Rhinolophus ferrumequinum: one gene and its partner. The protein of the gene in region 2 interacts with the protein of the main gene of each other region in a biochemical or structural test. Links are inferred from orthologs where the notes say so. Each region holds a gene or a part of one and is shown on either strand. Other genes may lie near its edges.

The links.
Region 1: the proteins of SYTL4 (region 2) and RAB27A form a complex in vitro, tested with the Homo sapiens proteins (2 studies listed by BioGRID). The link is inferred for Rhinolophus ferrumequinum from reciprocal best matches to the Homo sapiens genes SYTL4 and RAB27A.

Annotation. Positions count from the first base shown.
Region 1 is NC_046289.1:53,408,517-53,418,825, forward strand, and holds the start of RAB27A (ras-related protein Rab-27A), read left to right. Parts: upstream 1-5,701; 5' UTR 5,702-6,099; intron 6,100-10,309. UniProt on the Homo sapiens protein: Small GTPase which cycles between active GTP-bound and inactive GDP-bound states. In its active state, binds to a variety of effector proteins to regulate homeostasis of late endocytic pathway, including endosomal positioning, maturation and secretion.
Region 2 is NC_046284.1:53,720,868-53,731,055, reverse strand, and holds the start of SYTL4 (synaptotagmin-like protein 4), read right to left. Parts: upstream 4,570-10,188; 5' UTR 4,447-4,569; intron 4,082-4,446; exon of another isoform or gene 3,923-4,081; intron 1-3,922. UniProt on the Homo sapiens protein: Modulates exocytosis of dense-core granules and secretion of hormones in the pancreas and the pituitary. Interacts with vesicles containing negatively charged phospholipids in a Ca(2+)-independent manner.

The DNA of each region.
Region 1 (10,309 bases), on a different chromosome or scaffold from region 2:
GCCCTTTACCCCTAAATAGTTCAGTGTGAAAGTCCCCAAAACAAGGATATTCTTTCATAATTACATTATGATGATCAAGATCAGAAAGTTAAGATTGATATTATTATCTAATCTTAGATTTTATCCAAATTCTAACAAGTCCCATTAAATATGCTTTAGAGCAAAAGACAGTTTCTTTTCTGGTCTGAAAACTAATCCAAGATCATACTTGAATTTAGTTGTCATGTCTCTGGTTTCATTTATGCTGGAGCAGTTCCTCAGTCATTGCCTTTCATGACCTTGACTTTTTTTTTTTTTTAATGAGAACAAATCCACTTTATTTACTTTTCAGTAAGTTTAAATCCTGGAGGGGTACAGCATTACACGGATGCTGTGTCCTATGGGCTTATCAGGAAGGTTGCTTTGGAATTTGGCATGAACCATGCCACTGTTTCCATGAGCGCAAGTTCCCTTTCCCCAGATTACTCTGGTTTTGTTTGGTTTGCCACCAGGAGTCACGGTGTTGTTCTTTGCCTTGTACACATAAGCACATCTCTTGCCTAGATAGAATTCAGTTTCATCTCGAGCATAAACACCTTCAGTTTTAAGAAGAGATGTGTGCTCTCTCTGGTTCCGGAGACCCGCTTATAACCAGCAAAAATGGCTTTGGACCACAGCCTTCCAGACACATTTGTCATTTTAGAAGTCCTGTTCCCAGCAGGCCCCCAAAGTTCACCAGCAAGAGTTCCACTAAGCTCCATATGGCCCCAAGATGGTGGAAAAAACAACGTTGACATTTTTTAAGAATACTGGTCTATTGTTTTATAAAAATGCTCCTTAATTTGGGTTTGTATAATGCTTTCTCATGATTAGATAGATTCAGGTTCCTATTGCAGAAATTATTTGTCAGTATGAGTTACAAATTCCTATTTTATTCCAAATGTTACAATCTATTACTATCACCAGGGATGACCACATGATTTGTGGGGCCCAGGGCAAAATCAAAATGCAGGACCCTGTGTGGGGGCAAGGAAGTTAGTCTCATCATGGGCCCACCGCTCCAACCCATGGCAAATGGGCACCCCCGAGAGAGTGCAACCTCCATCCAGTACATTCTTGATTCCTGGGTGGTGGTGGAAGGAGGTCCCTGATGAGTAGCACATGGAGCATGCCAGACTAGGGCAGACCTGTCTTCCTGCCCACCCGTGGTGCCGTGGGACATAGGCCCAGCCCTGAGCCCTCCTGCCCAGGCTCCTGCCTGGGTGGAAGGTGATGGTGGAATGTGGGCCTCCCGCAGCCACGGTGACCTGGTCAGTGCTTTGGAGCAAGGCAGTGACTGCAAGGCCCAAGGGACCAGGGGTGAGGAGTGGGCAACGGCGGGAGTCAGTCAGGTGTGAGCAGGGGCTCCAAACCCCCAGCGAGCTCCACTGTGCCATCAGATTTCACTTACAAAACACAAATTTAAAAGTAAAATTAAGGCCATTTCGTGGACGCCGGATCTGTGAGAGTGCTTGTGAAGCTGGGCGGAGGGGAACGGAAGAGCCGTCCGTGGGTGTGTGGATTTGAGCCTCCGTATTTCTAACCCAAGATTTCGAAATGCATCGTGATTCCTGTCCATTGGATTGTAAAGTTTATGTAGGTAATCTTGGAAACAACGGTAACAAGACTGAATTGGAACGAGCTTTTGGCTATTATGGACCACTCTGAAGTGTGTGGGTTGCTAGAAACCCTCCCGGCTTTGCTTTTGTTGAATTTGAAGATCCCCGAGATGCAGCCGATGCTGTCCGAGAGCTAGATGGGAGACCATTATGTGGCTGCCGAGTAAGAGTGGAACTGTCGAATGGTGAAAAGAGAAGTCGAAATCGTGGTCCACCTCCCTCGTGGGGTCGTCGCCCTCGAGATGATTATCGGAGAAGGAGTCCTCCACCTCGCCGCAGATCTCCAAGACGGAGAAGCTTCTCCCGCAGTCGGAGCAGGTCCCTTTCTAGAGATAGGAGAAGAGAGAGATCACTGTCTCGGGAGAGAAATCACAAGCCGTCCCGATCCTTCTCTAGGTCTCCTAGCCGATCTAGGTCAAATGAGAGGAAACAGAAGACCAGTTTGCAAGAGGAGTGGTGTACAGGAAATGACTTCATTTGACAGGAGTATGTACAGAAAATTCAAGTTTTGTTTGAGACTTCATAAGCTTGGTGCATTTTTAAGATGTTTTAGCTGTTCACATTTGTTTATCTTGGAACAGTGACACATAAAAATGTAATTCTCTATGGTTTGAAATGAATCATATGAGGCATGTAATATCAAGAATTGTTACTTTACAATGTTCCCTTAAGCAAAATCGAATTTGCTTTTAACTTTTTAGTCTTGCAGAGACTGATAGATAATAAACCTCTCCTGCCCATCTAAAGTGTGATGTTTAATATTACGGAAACTGGCAAAAATTGAACCTAAGATCTTCCAGAGCTGGGATATAATATGCAGCTGCAGTTGAACATACAGTCTTCAAAAGCTGCTGTGAGCACAAGCCAGGTAAAAATTAAAGCTGCGTCATTACAACTAGATTTAGAGGTTAAAAAAAAAGTCCAACTAGTCTTCACACTGGGCAGAGGTTGTCCAGTTGGTGTAGAATCAAAGAAGTTTCAAGAAAGTTAGTTTACCTTGCCTTTAGGTCATAAGTTTCTTCTGTGATTGCAGTATATGAATACATAGCTCTTTGTAACATTCTTCATTTGGAAATTTGAGACTATCCAAGATACCAGTGTCATGCCAGTTTAAGGGTACATTGTAGAGCTGAACTTTGAGTTACTGTGCAAAATTTTTTTTCATGCTGTCATTTGTAATATGTTTTGTGAGAATCCTTGGGATTAAAGTTTTGGTTACAAAAAAAAAAGTAAAATTAAGACTTTCATAACTGTAGCTGCAGAGCATTAAAATTCTGATTGCAGGGCCCTGTGTAACATACAGATTGCATGACCATGAAGTCAGCCCTGACTATCACAATTTATTTTGATGTTTAAATTGTCCCAGATTTGGCTAGTGGCAGCCCCAGCTGGCTACTGTGTTCTTTTTTCTTTTTTTAAATATTTATTTCAGATACAAAAAGTAATGTTTAAATATTATCTGAAAATCGTGTTCAGTTTAACAAGTATAAAACAAGACTTCTTAAAAAAGCTTACAACGAGGAATAATATACTTTGACATTCACAATGTCCACCACAGTGGGCATTTTTGAAAAATAGTTTTGTTAACAATGTAGCTTAAGAAGAATATCTTCAGTCCTAATTAAAATAAGCAAGTCTTTAGCTGAGGAACCGTCCTCCCCTAGGATGGTTCCTATGTCCTTTCAACAAATACATGTCATTCTTTGAACACACTTACTTTCCAGCTCATCCTTTTCTCTCTCCTAGACCAACCTATGAATCAAGGAGTATTAGTTATTTTTAAAAAATAGAAACAAAATTCACATAACAAAAGAATTAACCATTGGTGGCTTGTTAGCTCAGTTGGTTACAGCGTGGTGCTAATAACACCAAGGTTGCTGGTTCAATCCCTGTATGGGCCACTGTGAGCTGCGGCCTCCTTAAAAAACAAACAAACAAAAAAAAACACTTAACCATTTTAAATTGTACAATTCCGTGGCATTTATTACATTCACAATGTCGTGAAACTATTACCTTTATCGAGTTCCATTGACATTTTTATCACCCAAAAGAAAACTCTTATGTGCAGTAAGCAGCGACTCCATGTTCCCCAGTGCCTAGCAATGAGTTTACTTTCTGTCTCTATGGATTTACCTATTCTGGATATTTGAGTTGACCTCTCAAATCCATTCTTAGCTTTATAGCCATTAAGAAAATGGGTTCTAAGTTCTAGTCCTTGCTGTGGTAATTATTAGCTGTGATCTTGGTCAGGTTGCTTAATCACTTTAAGGCTCAGTTCTCTCATCTGTAATATGGGGATAAGAATAGTACTTATTTCATAAGGCAATTGTGAGAAGTAGATGAGGTAATACATGTAAAATTCTCAGCATATAGTGTGATTCATAGTAAATGGTCAATAAATGTTAGCTATTTTCATTATAATCATTCTAGGTTCTTCATAATCCAGCCTCTGCTTACTTCTCCAGTTTTCTTTATTTTTCTGATTGCTTCCTTCTCAGTTTTTCAGCTTTGCTGAACTTCTTTCAGTTGCTCCAATATCTCTTTTGCCTCCAGGCCCTTCCTCTGCTCTTTTTTTACTAGATTCCCTTCTCTCTCACGTTCCCACCTTCTTTATCCTTCTTGCTTCGTACATCATTTTCTCTGGGAAGTCTTGATTTGGTACCATTGCTCTGTGTGTTCCATTGACACCCTTTAACTTCCCTTATCGGGGATTTTATCTCATTGCCCTGAAGTTAACTGCTTATTTGTTCTCTTTCAAACTCCCTGAGATCAGAAACCAGTTTACTTTGTCCATTGTCACATCTGCAGTACCTAACAGTGCTTGACTCATTGAATGGGCCACAGCACCACTGTCTGTTTTCTGATCTCCTGCCCAGCAAACTCCTGGTGACAGCCCTGACGGCATGCAGCGGTGGGGAGGGCTGTGGGCCCTCTCCCAGTATGGTGGCATCAGTCATTAGCAGTTGGTATATCTTACGACTGTTTCTCTATACATGAACACAGGGCTACTTCTCCTGTTTTAACCTCCATCATCAACAATCTGGGGGTCCTTCACTCACCTGGGGAACATCCCTCAAAATCATCACCCTATGGTGAAATCTGTTATCCCTAACTCTGAGATCACTGTTGTGTATTTGCATGGAAATATTAGATTGAATGTATATTCAATATTTGGCAATTTCATATTGTTGTTCTATAAATTAGACACATATCTGAGAAGCTAATTGTACTGTAATGCCAACTGTGAGTGGTTACAGACTGGAAGGATGATGGGGTGGGCAGGTCGGCCTGGGAGAGCTGGAATTTGGGGTGCAAGTAGAGGCATTTCAGTGAGATGGACCAGATGATAAGAGAAGCTGGTCTAGAGATACCAATCATTTTGCTCTGTTTAGAAGTGAACTTATTTGGTTCAGAAGTGCTTTGCCTGACATCCCCCAGAGGCAGGTCCAAGACCACTGTTCAGACTCCACACCATTGGAGGAGAAATTTCGCTGCCTCTGAGTGGGAACCTGGTGGCCCGAACCTGCTTCACAAGCCGACCCACACACAAACCCGCGGGTGCTGAGACAAGGAAGCCACTGGGTGGCAGCAAAGGCTCGCAGATGTCGCCTTACTGTACTTTGCTTTTGTTTTAAAAATCAATTGCTCTCTTAGAAATTTAATTTTGCGTGATTTTTTAATCCTAATAAGACTGTACGACCAGAGACCCCGTTAGTCATTTCTTTCCAGAAATTATTTATTTCTCCCCTGCCATTTCCAAGAATGTCAGAACTTTCCCTCGTCCCAGGAAGGCCAAGTCCAGGCCGACCTGAGTGAGGAGAAGTCGGGGCGGGATGGACAACCGCAGAGCGGGACACGCGGGGCTGAGCCGGGCCCCCGAGGAACACCCCCCGACCCCCGCCCCCCGGGCCTCAGGAACCCCCGGAACAACTTTGCAGCTACTCAGCACCTCTGGCTACAAGGTGGAGACACCGATCATACCCTGGAAAACACCTTTAGAAAATAGCTTTTGGAGAAGGAGATTTGGCGAAAGTCACCAAACCGTACGTCGAGCCTGAAGTAGTTTGTAAATGTCATCCCCGTGTCTCAAAACGAAAACAACCCCCTAAGGTTTTGCGTCTTCCAGGAAAGTGCAGTGGAGACCTGGCTTGGGCCAAAGTAGGCGAGCGGGACCTTTCCGGGGCTCCGAGGACCCGTCAGCAGGTGCTGCGGTACCGGGATCCGCGCGCAAGGAGGTGCCCGCACCGACTCGGGCGGGGGTGCTCCTGGAGGTGACAGGAGGAAGCGGGAGGTGGAGGGTGGAGAGGAGGTCCCGCCCCCACCTCGCTCTCCTTTACGGGAAGTGATGTGGGGCCAGACGGAAAATACCCGCCAAGGACCCAAAAAAGGCCAGTAGCGGGTGGCAGCGGCGCGCGCAGAGGCAGAACGGCGTGGGGACGGCGGGGACAGCGGGCCCAGCCAGGTGAGGCGGGCGGCTGCGGGCTGCGCCCTCCAGGTTACGCTTCAGGCGGGAGGGCTGAGCAGGGTAGCTTGCGAGCCGCAAATCCGGCCCTGGGGCTGAACTCGGGGCTGCGGCTCCTCTGCCCACCTCTGGGAGGCTGAGCCGGCCAGAAAAGTTGCGTTGCTTCTCTCAGGCCCCGAGTGGCCATCGCACAGCACAGACCCGACAACGACAATGTCCGGGGATGGGGTTCAGCTTGGGCGAGGTGCTGATGAGGTGTAGTCCCAGGTGGGGACGGGGTCTGAGGTCACCTCTGCGTGGCATCCAGGCGAGAGTCCCCGTCAGTGGGGGAGGAAACTTCACTAGCAGGAGAGGAGGAAGGTCCCATGCCTCCAGCGCTGCCCTGTAGTTCTTTCCTCCCTCTTGTCGTTTTCAGTTGAATTCTTGAATGTCTTTACACCTTTGATGGTCAGGGTCTGGATTGCAAACTGGCTGGAAGCGAGAGGGTTCCCCTTTCTTCTGACGGTCAGACCGAAAGCCTTACCTGGCAGCCAGGCCCTCTGGCACTGGTGGTACTGCTGATGTGATGACAGGTTTCCGCAGCTATTGCCAAAGGCTTGTCTCTGTGTCTCAATAGATCACCAATTAAGCAAGGTCAGGCAGAAGTGAAGGGAATCTGTGAGCCCTTGACTCTTGCCTTCCCAGCCCGTGGTTCCTTCTGGCCACACGGCCTCCGAATCTTCTGCCACAGGGTTCTCCTCCTTCCCACTGTGGGCTAACAGCTGTTTTTTCCTACTGAATGGATTCTCACTTTATGGTTGGCTCATCATTCAGATGTTGGCAGGGCCGTATAAGTTTTCTGTAATTATCACTGATTTAACTTGTTGGTCCTTCACTGTTCCTATCCACCTCCCCTTCCACCCCCCCCCTTTTTTAAAATTTGCTTTGGGGGAAAACACAGTCTGGAAAACAGGGTTTTCTGCAGAGAGTTGGAAATGAAGGAAGGTTGATATAATGCTGAAAGAACTTGACTGAGGACCATTTTTTTCTGTATTTTATGTTGCTTTTCATTTCCTTCCTTCCTTCTTTTCTTCCTTCCTCCCTTCCTTCCTTCCCTTCCTTAATTTCCATGGCCTGCTTTGATATTTAATTTTAGTGATGTATAATTATTTATTTTTTCTTTTGTTGCTTGTGCTTCTGGTGTCAAATCTAAGAAAGCATTGCCAAATTCAAAGTCATAAAGATTTATATCTATGTTTTCTTCTAAGAGTTTTATAGTTTTAGCTTTTACATTTCAATCTTTAATTCATTTTAAGTTAATTTTTGTATATGGTATGAGGTAGGGGGGTCCAACTTCATTTTTTTGCATGTGGATATCCAGTTCTCCCAGCACTACTTGTCGAAAAGTCTATTTTCCTTTGCATGATCTTGGCACTTGTGTTGAGAATCATTTGAATGTAAGTGCAAGGGTATACTTCTGGACTTTCAATTCTACTCCATTGATCTATGTCTATCCTTATGTTAGCACCATACTATCTTAATTACTGTAGCATTACGTTTTAAAATCAAGAAGTGTGAGTCCTCCTACTTTGTTCTTCTTTTTCAAGATTGTTCTGGCTATTCTGGATCCCTTGAATTTCCATATGAAATTTAGGATTCTCAATTTCTCAGTTTCTTCTCAATTTCTGTTGCCTTGGTTTTAGAACATGTGTAAGTGTTCTAGAGTGGGAAACAATTTCTAGGAATCAGACTCTTGATTTTTTTCCTCCTAAACCTACATTTTTCTTAGTCTTCCCATTATCGGTTATAATGGCAACGCCATTCTTCCAGGCTAAACACCCTGGAGTCACCCCTGCTTCTCTTCTTTCTCTTGTTCCCACATCTAGTCCCTCAGCAAATCTCACTGGTTCTACTTTGAGAGTATATCTACTATAATAACCGTTTCTCACCAGTTCCACTGCTACTACCAAGTTCCTATCATTTCTGTCACCTGGATTACTGCAAAGGCCCCCTACAAGGCCACTCTGCTTCCGTCCTTACCATTCTACAGTCTGTTCTCACCACCGCAGCCAGAGTCATTAATTACTCTGCTCAAAACTCTCCGATGGCTTTTTATCTCAGGAGAAAAACAAAGTCTCATCATGGGCTACAAACCCATTACATGGTATGTAACTTCATTTTCTATTACGCTCTCCTTTACCTACTGTGCTTCAGACAGCCACAACTCAGGACCTTTGCACTTGCTGTTTCCTCTGCCTGGAATGTGCTTCCTACAGATGTCTGCATGGCTTTCTTACTCGTTTCATTCAGGTCAAATCCATTTCTGTAGAGAGGCCTTCTTGAACCATCCCATCTAAAGTAGCATCTCTCACCCCTCCATCATTTTCTGCTCCCTTACCTTGCCTTATTTTTCTTTAGGGTATCTTTAATACTAACTGTCCTCTCTCTCTCTCTCTTTCTCTCTCTCTCTCTCTCTCTCTCTCTCACACACACACACACACACACACACACACAGTATTTCTTTCCCATTGGTAGAATACAAGCTCCATAAAGGTCAGGAATTTTTCTTGTTCACTATGGTCTGCATACATTTAGAATGGTTTCTGGCTCATAGGAAGTACTCAAAAAAATGTGATGAATGATTGAAAAGGGAACGAGAGACTGAGAAATGGAGATCACTTTGCTATTTCTCACTGTTCCTTCCCACTTTAAGATAAGCAATGTCTACAATTATATTAACATCTAAGTCTCTATTTTTCTATCCTCTTATTTTCTCTAAGATAATGCCCTTACCCTCCTTGGAAAGGGAAAGATCAAATAAGTAGAAAGGTGAGGGCTCTGGCCTTGCCACAGCGGCAGTGGGAAACCCTCTTCTCTGTAGCCTGGATAGCTTGGTTGGGGCCATTTAGCACCTGTCTCCAGTGATTTAGCTTCTTAGATGGATCTAGGGAGAGAGTGAAATTCCTTTGAAATTCAAGAAAATGGAAATTCATTTTTTTTTCATTTTAAATTTCCTTCTTGATGAATACTTTATACTGTAGTAAATTCATTTTTCTCTGCCATCTAACTGAAATTGCCAACCTGGAGACTCATTTTGACATTTAATTACACGACTACTTTAGGCTGTCAGCTATTTATGTGTTTGTCCTTATTTCCACGACTAGATCGTAATATCCTGGAGACAAAGCAGGACTTCAGCTGATGTTTGAGTCTTATACTGCAAGGTAGCTTAGACAAAAGAAGTGTTCAATGAACTCTTGCTGAGTGTACCAATAAGTTAATGAATAAACGTGGATTTATTTTCATCTTTGGAAACTTCTGCTCTATACGTTTAATTTTTCTTAGCCAACAGCTGCAAGTACCTGTTTTAGTCCACCGTATCCTGCTACTGCTGATAGAGCAATATTGGCTACGGTTGAGTGGAGCTTCCTGCTGCCCTTTCCCAGACAGAATTGAATTAATTGGCTTCTAGTGTATGGTGATTAATCTTCCATGTTATTTTAAAAATTAAATTTTGCCTTCCATTGTTACTTAAACTTATCTTGCTTATCTTGGAATGTTTCCTATTTATGTCTTCACTGCAAAATATGAAAAAAAATTATTTTTATATATACTATATAAGATATATATATATATATATAATTTTTCTAATAAATTATGATAAGTTTGATACTTCCTGAAAAACAAAACAGGGCTTTCATGTTTGAAGTGCGAACCCCTAATTACCTAGATGGAGAGAATCCTTTCACAATGTATATGTATGTCAAATCACCGTGGTGCATACTTTAAATATCTGACAATTTTATATTGTCAATTATACCTCCATAAAGCTGAAATTTTTAAAAAAGTGTGAGCCCCTGAGAAGCAAGATTGTCTTGCCATTGTTAAAACAGAACTGCCTTCTGAAGAAAGCAATTTTTTTCTTTCTTGCTGCCTTCACTTTTTATGCGTTGTGCAGTTTTTGCGTGCATCGTATTTATTCCGCTGCCTCTTGGTGAGGAAGCTGGAGTTTATGATCTGGTTTCCCTTAAGCTGATTACCTTGAGAGCAGACAAGAGCACTGAGTTGGAGGAAGAGATAAAGGGCTTGTGATTAACTTTACGTCCACAGGGTGAGATGTGTGGAGCAGGGAGCATCCAGCTTACTTCCGCCTCCCATCTGCTCAGACAGTGCAAGGGACACCCCACACTTCATGCCTCACTTGCTCAAGAGGAATGTTGAAAGTTATTCC
Region 2 (10,188 bases):
ATATATCACCCAAAAGAAAAATGTGCAAAGAATATTAAGGAGCAAGTTTCAGGAAAAAGACGAAAGCTAACACACATGAGAAGATACTCAGCCTCACCAGTAATCAGAAAAATGCAAGTTAAATCAGTTAGATATTATTTTTCACCTATCTGATTGGCAAAAATTAAAAAAGACTCACTCTCATGGTGACAATATAAACCCTCTTAGATGTCACTTTGGCAGCACCTACTCACATTTTCAAATGTACATATCCTTTGACCCAACTATTTCTCTACTAGAAAGCTAACTCACAGAAATATTTGCGTGCATATGTGTCTTACATCTTATATTTATCCACCCTTCAGCGTTGTGCAAACTGTTTATTGCAGCTTTGTGGTGGTTTGGACTAGGGCAATAGGCAGAGGAGATGGAGACATGTGGCAGAATATATACACTTGGAAGTTCAGGTCAACAGGACTTGCTGATGACCTGGATGTTGGTGGGCTGAGAGAAATAGAGGAATCAAGGGTGACCCTAGGTTCTTAATTTGAGCAATTGAATGGATGCTAGTGCCATGTTACTGAGAGGAAGCTGAGGGAAGGGGCTGGGGATGTGAGAGGAATCAGGAGTACTGTTTTGGCCACATTACATTTGAGATGTCTACTTGACATCCAAGTAGAGATGCTGAATAGGCCAGCAGACATATGAGGCTGCAGCTTAAAAGAAGGCTTGGGTCAGAGACATACACCTGGGGGTGATGAGTGTATAGATAGATGGTATTTAAAGCCATGGGGCTGGATGAGTGTTTGTGGGAAGATTTTGGATGGACAAATGTTCATGGACTGAGCCCTGAGATCCAATGTTCAGAGGTTAGCGAAATAAATTTAGTAGAAGAGGATGCTGAGCAGAAGTTTTTTGTACAAATTTGAGCTTCAAAGTTTACATCAAATGGTGAAGAATCACATATTTTATACCATATCAAGGGTCCGACTCCTTCCAAGCCCGTCTTTTAAGGGATTCTAGCCCTTTTTTTCTTTCTGAATATTTCAAAACACATTTAAACAGATCAGTACTTTGTTTTCTTTTATGTTACCTAGTGGTTTCAAGCACTACACAAGTAGCACTCAGCAATGTCTTTTCCATAAAGTTAATAATCCAATAGCTATCTCATGCCTAAAAGGCTAAGGGTGACTTTAGGCCAGAAGCTTTATTTGTGGCATCTTTTATTCTTTTAGGCTGTTCACTTCCCTGTTGCACAGTAACTTACTCCAGCTTCTTACTGAGCTCACCAAATGCCTAAAATGTATCCAGACATCTGACAATCCACACCCCTCCCTCAGTGCAGCCTCTCTTCGTAGCCACAAGAAGCATAGCATCTTTACATTTCCACTTCAAACTTCAGAAGTTTCCATCCAGAGCCTCATGCCTTAAAGGGAGAGAGAGAGGAAGCACTTCCAACTAGATCAAAGTTGTCATCAGTAATGCAATCTGAAAGCAAAACTCAGTGGAAGGAAAACAGTGAGAACTAGGCCCAGGGCAGCCTAACACTGTAGGGTGACAGACAGGGGACACTTAGTTTCAGTTCCAGGAGAGCCCAAAAAAGTGCCAGTTCCTAGAACAGTAATGTCATTCATTAATTCATTGAACAAACGTTGGTAAGTACCTATGTCCCAGGCCCTGTTATAGGTGCTGGGGTCCACTAGTGAATAAAACAGACAGAAAGCCCTGCCCACGTGGAACTTACATTGTGGAGGGGGGAGAGAGACAGACAATAAGAAAGAAAAATGAATAAAATATGCAATATGTTACATTAGAGTAATAAGGTAGGGAAGGGGCACATAGAATATTCCGGGAAGGGTTTCAAGTTTAAACAAGATGATTAGGGAAGGCCTCACTGAGGTGACATTTAAACACAAACTCCTAGTTGTCAGATTTCAAGCGCCTCAAAAAAGGTATCTTTTGTACTTCAATCCCACCATCACCAGACCTCAGGCCCTTGAAGGCATGGGACCCCCGGTTCTTAGCACAAATGTTTGTTGATTTTTCACGCTTAAGACAAAGGGAGCTCCAAGATCCAGACCTTGACCTTAAAGTGGTTAACCTTCCAGGTGGAAAAACAACTAAGAGAGGTGTTAAGGGCTTTCCTGAGGTATAAACAAAGAGCTTTTGGACACAGGATAACTGGTAATTCTGCATAGGGGAAGGAATTGTATTCAGAAAGGCTGTCCCAAAGGAGGTGACTTTAGAGTAAATTTTGAGATAAATAGGAATTAATGGCAGGGAGTGGGTATGGGTGGCAAGTTATCTTTTCAGGGGGAAAAAAAGAGCAGTTTGAGCAAAGGCCCAGTGATCGGATCAGGGAAGACATTTTTCTCCTGGACTGTCCCTGCCTCAGATATGCCATCCATCCCAGGATAAAATAAGCAAACACTTCCCCTCAGGCTCTCTGGCTTGACTGTTGGGAAATCCTTATCGCATACCACATCCTCATTTCTCCCCTAGCAAGCAGGAAAGGAAGAAGTTGAGTCAGTCACACATCCCTAGAATCCAGTTACCCTCTCTTAACTTCAGGACAATGACTACTGAGCTAAGAGCCCTGGAAGTTTCATTCAGACAGGTACACTCAGGGGTGTGTACCTAGAGTGGCAATGTGGCAACTGGCCCCCTGCTGGAAGTGAAGTGGTGAAGTGGGCAAGATACCAGTGAGGTAAATGGTCCAAAGTCTCCTCAGTGCATCCAGGGTAGAGTCAAGGACCAAAACTTATACTTTGGCGTGGAAGGGAAATTTTTAATCACTTAGTCCTCACTCGTGAGCTATTTAGTGTTCCTAACATCCAAGGCAGCAGAGACGGTATGACAGGGGATAGGAACAGAGCTGTGCATTAAGATGACCCAGCTCTGTCCCTCATCTGTTGGGTGATTTGGAGCAAGGCACTTAACCTCTCAGTCTCCTTTTCATCATAACACAATTATAATTGTAGCGCCTACTTCATAGAGTTATCATGAGGATTATATGAGATAATTATGTCAAGAACTTATCACAGCGCCTGGCTCAGTGGATTCTAACAACCATTATTAATAGCAGCCTTTAAGGGGAAAACTCAGAGAGTATCAACCAGAATGCTACATACACTCACAGACCAGTCATCCCTGAACAGGCCTCCATTTCACTGTTCAGACTTAGAGTGAGGCCCCTGAAATTGTGTTACCAGAAATGTTTGCCTCCTGCCAGGATAAGTCTCACAAGCCAAGTTGGTGGTCCCTTTCTACTAGGATTTCCAGCAGGTGCTAAAAACAAAAAACAAAAACAAACCAAAAAAAAAAAAACACAACAAAAAACTTTCTCAGAGTCTCAACTCTTTGCATTAGACATTATTCTCTCCACAAACCAGTGGGTAAACACATTAGGTCATTAATACCTTAATATTAATGGATTTATGAGGGGTGGTGTCCGGGAGCTGAAAAAGCAGAAAAGCCAGTTTAAAATAGGAGGTCCAGGATGTACTGAAGACTAATGTCTGCCACAGATGTTCAAGCTCTAGGGTCAACCCTGCCAAAAGCTGTATTCTGGAGCGCTAGGTCCTCTGGTCCTGAAGAAGTAGGGTACTGGGGGAGGAAAAGGTTAGTTAATGAGAAACAGATCAGTTGTTCAAGCCACCAGAATTCTAACCAAATGATTTCACCACCAAAACTAACCATTTCATTCAACGTTAAGGGCTGGAGACGTTCATAAGCCCCTTTATAAACCAAAACAGAAGATAGAAGTGTTCTGGGCCCCTTCTGAGGGCTCTGAGGACTCTCCTCCAGGAGCAAAGCCTGCTTGAAAAGTGGCAAGATAAAGCAGTTCAACTCTGGAGCACACAGCCGGGTCCCCCGCCCCAAGTGCAGAAGAAGCCCACCGAGGCAGGACTAGGGCCAACCAGCCAGCCAGCAGCCTTTTTACCTGTGGCGGGCCGCCTGAGGTCCGTAAGGAGTACGGGGACAATACCACGCGCAATGGCCGGGCACTGCCAGAGGAACCGGCGAAAAGGTGACTCGACGCCTCGGAGGGCGCAGTTCCCGCTAGGAGCTCCGGCCCCACCCCTGCCCCCCGGGCCGGCTCTCCGGAATTGCCTCAGCTCCGGCAGGCGGGAAAAGCCGGCCACGCCGCTCGAGGCGTGACAGGGAACACAGAGAGGCACAGCCTTCGTTAGCGATCAGTGGGCCTGGGAAGGCGCTCGGGAGAAAGCAAACTGGCGGGGAGGGACTGTCCCCGGGGAGTCAAGCAGACTGGAGTCGAGGCGTGGGCAGGAGGGCTATCCAGGGAGGCAGAAAGGGGACAGGAAAGAGTGGGAGGGCGGAAGGGGTTAGGGAAGGACGCAGGGCCCTGAGATGGGGGTGGGGGCGCTTAGGCAGAGACAAGGGGCTGGGGGCCAGGCAGGAGTCCCCGACCGACGGCGAAGGGGCGGCCTCTGGCCGCGAACCTACCTGTCAGGTGCAACAGGTGCCACGAGAGAGGCTAGAAGTCCCAGCACCGGATTCAGGGCAGGGTCTATGGCTCTGGGAAGACCGCAACCCCACTCCGGCAGTGGCCGGTCCTTCTCACCCTCCCGGGAGGCGGAAAAAGCTGCAACTTTCCCTGGAGCGGGGAGGAGCTGGACTCTTAAAGGGGCCGCACAGCGCTCCAGGCTCCTGAGTAGGGGACGGTGCCACTACAAGAGGAGCTCTGGGAACCAAAGCCTTAAGGCACTGGAGGGATGCCCTCCAGGATTATGAAAGGGAGCTTGAGGATTAAGGATAAGGGTCTAAGACTAGACCTGACCCCCTTTTTATTTCCATCTGTGGTCACTCTCTCAGATGATAAATCACAAACCTCTTCACTCAGCTGAGCCAAAAGTTGTCAAACGGTCGTGTACTTTTAGGGAGAAGAAGACTGTAGACCATATACTTTGGTAAGATAAAACATGATACCATTCTGATTCTTCGACTTTCAGCCTTTTGTGGCAAAGAAAAGTGTCTAAAATAGAAACGTTTTGGGCAAATAGCATAAGACTAAATTCACACACATGGACACAAGTGGGTAAAACATTCAACTCACTATTTAATCAAAGAGTAAATTAGAACAATAATGAGGTTCCTTGGCAAAGTTTTTTGTTTGTTTGTTTTTATAACAATGATGACAAAGTGGCCACCAGATAAGTTATCTTATAATTGCTGGAAGGAGTGTATTTTGGTTAAAAATCCTTTGACAAAGCATGTGAGTAATATATATCAATTAGACTCTAAAATGTTTATATCTACCCAGTAATTGTAAGTTCCTCTCCCATTCTCTTCCTCCCTCTCTCTCTCTCCCTCTCTTCTTTTCATCACCCATTAACAATGCTCAAGTCCCTCTCACCTGTCATCAGCAAATAAACATGCTCAAGTCTCCGCCATCTTAAAAAAAAAAATCCTCTTTACACACCAAATACCTCTCCAGCTCCTCTTTATGAACAAATTTATTCCAAATATACTTTAGAGGTACATTTGTAATCTCCACTCCCTTAATTTTCACTCAACAATTTGACTTTCTTCCTCAACACTCCACTGAGACTGTGCTCAACAAGATACCCAGCTAATGACCTCCGTGTCAATAAATAAATAAATAAACAAACAAACAAACAAATAAGACATTTTTAGTCCTTATCTTGCTTGACCTCTTCTCTACATTTAATGCTGTTAACCATTTCCTCCTCCTTGAAAGTCTTCCTGTGGCATCTATGACACCATACTCTTCTGCTTTTCCTCCTACCCTTTTGCCCTCTCCTCAGTTCCTTTGTACATTCCACTCTGCTATCTAACTTCTGAAAGACAGACATTCTCAGGGCTAGGCTACATATACTCTCTTCCTAAGTGATCTCTTTCACTCACTTGGCTTTAATTATCATCTGTATGGCCACACCTGTAATTTTATAGCTTATCCAGATATCTCCACTGAGCTCTGCTCTCTTGACATCTCCACTTGGATGTCTTGCAGGCCCTTCAAACTCAACACATCTGAAGCTGAACCCACCATCTTTTCTCTTAAATTTGCTCCTTCTCCATTGTTTCCTGTATCAGTATAAAAAACCCAAGGCAGAAAGTGGGCACCTAGAGTATCATGTTTCCCTGAAAATAAGACCTAACTGGAAAATAAGCCCTAGCACGATTTTTCAGGATGTTCATAATATAATATAAGCCTTACCATATTTCCCTGAAAATAAGACCGGGTCTTATATTAATTTTTCCTCCAAAAGACTCATTAGGGCTTATTTTATATTACGAGCATCCATAAAAATCATGCTAGGGCTTATTTTCAGATTAGGTCTTATTTTTCAGGGAAACATGGTAGTACCTGGCACATAGTAGGCCCTCGCTAATATTTGTATAATAAATGAATGAATGAATGTGTCCTAAAGAAACACAAACTTTTTGTACAATGATGTTAACTGCAGTATTACTTAGAATAATCAAATACTAGGGGCAAAACCTAATGGTTCAATGGTTAAGTAAATTAGAGTTATACGATGGAATATTATATAGCCAGTAAAATTGACAAGTAGTCTTCCCTTATCCATGGGGGATACATTCCAAGACCCCCAGTGGATACCTGAAAACACACTGAACACTATACATACTATGCTTTTTCCCTTTACATACAAGCCTTTTCACTTAAAGGAAGCACTTTATGGCTTTTCTTTGGTATATTTGAATTGTCAGCATCACTACACTTGCACTTTGGGGCCATTATTAAGTATAATGTGTTATTTGAACACTGCACTGCAATACTGTGACAGTTGATATGATAACCTAGACAGCCAAAAATTAATAATGAGCAGGTATCATATACAATGTGGATACACTGATCAAAAGGGATGATTCCCATCCCCGGTGGGATGGAGCAGAACGGCACGAGATTTTATCACACTACTCAGAATGGTACAAACTTTAAAACTTACGAATTGTCTATTTCTGGTATTTTCCATTTAAAATTTTCAGATCACAGTTGACCATGAGTAACTGAAACCGTGGAAAGCAAAACCACGTAGCAGGGGACTACTGTAGCAGGTAGCAGGGGACTACTGTATTTACACGTAGCTCATAATGACAAGAAATACGTATGTGTAATATTAACTGAAAGTAGGATACAGTATTTAATATACATATGATCACAACAATTAATGGAAATCGGAGGATATGCATGAACAAAAGGCTAGAAAGAAATATGCAAACTATCAATAGTGGCTGTCTCTAGGTGGTATAACTAAATGAACTTTTCATTTTCATCCTAATTTTCTGTATTTTTCAACTTTCTTATAATAGTGGGTATAGCTTTGATAATATAAAACATCTTTTTTGAAAATCTTTAATAGGGAAGGAAAAAATCATTTTAATTCTAGCAGACAAAACAGTAAAATTCAGCTCCCAGGCTCTACCCAGAGTTTTCTGCCATTCTGGAATCCTTAAATACACCACCCACAGCCTTAAGTGCAAAGAAGACTCTTCAAAAAGGAAACCCTTTTGTTCTGTCTAGCGTTGCTAACTCCATCCTCAGGGCCTCTCTGCCTCAGCTCTGGGCTTTGAATGTGTTCATCTCCCTAACCTGGCCTGTGGGAACTCAGAACAAGCACTTCTCTGCTTCTTCTTTGCAGGTGGTGCTTGGCAGGAGCTGGAAATACCCTCAGCTAGAAGGGACTTCAGAAAACATATAGTCCAATCTTCTTATTCCACAGCAAAATTTCCAGATATTATTTTAAGTTTTTCCTTCTTTATGCATGTGTGGTTTCTCACTCTCCAAGGTCCACCTCATTAAAGAGGATGTGTGAGGATCTGACTCCTATCACAGTTTCACTAAACCATCTGAAAATACACAGAGACAAACATAAGCAATGAACCAAAACCAAGTTAGTCAATGGCCTGTTTACACAGATTCCATGCTTCGCAATCTGCTGTCCATTATCTGTTTGATCCTCTTTGTTTGTCGCAAGGATTCTGTGCTCAAATTCTTATGCCAAATATTGTGAGCGCTCCAATGCAAGCAAACCCAGGCACTATCCTGTGCAACAATGTAAATAGGAACTTATGGATTATTATCTTATGTATGGTATGTAAACTCCTGTCCCATAGTGAATGATCGGATATGATGAGTTGTTTCAATTTACCACATTGAAGTAGTTCTGGATAGTGCAAACTAATAAGATACTCCATTGTTTGTTTTTTTCCTCAGCCCCAGGTGATGGGATGCCTCAGCATTGAGCAATTGCTCTTTTTAAATATTTTGAAAATGCATAAATATATAGACAACAGTACGACAAAGAGAATATGCTCACAACCCAGCTTAAGAAATAAAGCATTATGCAGATTGGTGCAGCTGCTATGGAAGACAGTTTGGAGGTTCCTCAAAAAGTTAAGAATAGAATTACCATATGACCCAACAATCCCTCTCCTGGGTATATACCAAAAAATTCTGAAAACATTTATCCATAAACATATGTGTGCTCCTATGTTCAGTGCAACTTTATTCACAGTGGCCAAGACATGGAAATAACCAAAGTGCCCTTTGATAGATGAATGGATAAAGAAGATGTGATATATATATAATGGAGTACGATTCTGCCATAAGAAAATATGAAATAGTACCATTTGCGACAACATGGATGGATCTTGAGATTATTATGCTAAGTGAAATGAGACAGACAGAAAATGTCGAGAACCATATGCCTTTGCTGATGTGGGATATAAAACTGAAAGCAACAAAGGAGCAAATCAAACACATGAAGAAACAAAAACTCAGACATAGACAATAGTTTAATGGTTACCAGAGGTTAAGGGGGAGGGGGTGGTAGAAGAGGGTAAATGGAGTCAAATATATGGTGATGGAAAGAGAACTGACTCTGGGTGGTGAACACACAATGTGATATATAGATGATGTATTACAGAATTGTACACTTGAAACCTATGTAATTTTACTAACCATTGTCACCCCAATAAATTGTAATCAAAATTTATATATATATATATATATATATATATATATATATATATATATATATATATATATATATAATTTAGCAAGGGAAAAAAAGAGATTTACATTCAAACTAAAATTCCACCCATCTTCGCATCTCTTCAATAAACTTCTAAACACGCCAAAAAAAAAAAAAGACAGAAAGAAAGAAAGCATTACCACTACAATCAGAGCCCTCTGTATACACCTCCATCCCAAGGTTTTCACTATACCAGATTTGATCTTGATCATTTCCATGTGTGTCTTTATACAGTTACTACATATGTGTCTATCCCTAAACAATATGTAGTACTTTACAGAAATAGTGTCACTCTGCATGTACTATCTGCAATTTGCTTTCCTCACTCAACATTATGCTTATGAGATTTATCCCTGTTGATAGACGTAGCTCTAATTCATTCATTTTCATTGCTATAGAGCATTCCAGGCATAACTATATTGTAATTTATGTGTTCTCTTATTGATCAGGTACTCTTCTATTGCCAAAGTCTTAATTCCAGATGCCAGGACACTCCCTCTTCATTTCTTGCTAGATAATAAAAATAAAAACTTTTGCAAAAACAAACAAACGAAAAAAGAAGTCTTCTTGACCAAGCATATTTAGTTCACTAGTGGTCTACAACGAGTATGGGGTGTAAAAAGTAGATTCAGTCTCTTATTCAGTCAAGATCAGAGTTTCTCCACCTCCGCACTACTGACATTTTGGACTGAATAATGTTTTGTTGTGAGGGGCTATCCTGTGCATTGTAGGATGTAGATGCCAATCGTGACAACCCAAAATGTCTCCAGCTATTGCCAAATGTCTTCAGTTGAGAACCACTGGTTAAGGTTTACTAGGCACCCATTACACGTGAAGCACTTTAGTAGGTGCTATGGGAAGAAAGAAGATGAATAAACACTAAAAAAATAGTTCTTTCACTCACAGAGGTATGTATTGACATCTACTATGTGGAAAGTATACTGGGCTAGGCACTGGGATTTTGGTGACTGAACATTTCTTCGAGGTGTTCACAATTTATTGCATGGGGTTGGAGGGAAGCAGACAAGCCAAAAACACAAATTTGTAATACAGTGTGGAAAGTGCAAAGCTGGGAAGATGTGCAGGATATGTGGAAGCACCTAGCAAGGCCACTTTCACCAGTGTGGTCAGTGAAGGGTTCCTGGAAAAGTGGTATCTTCTCTGA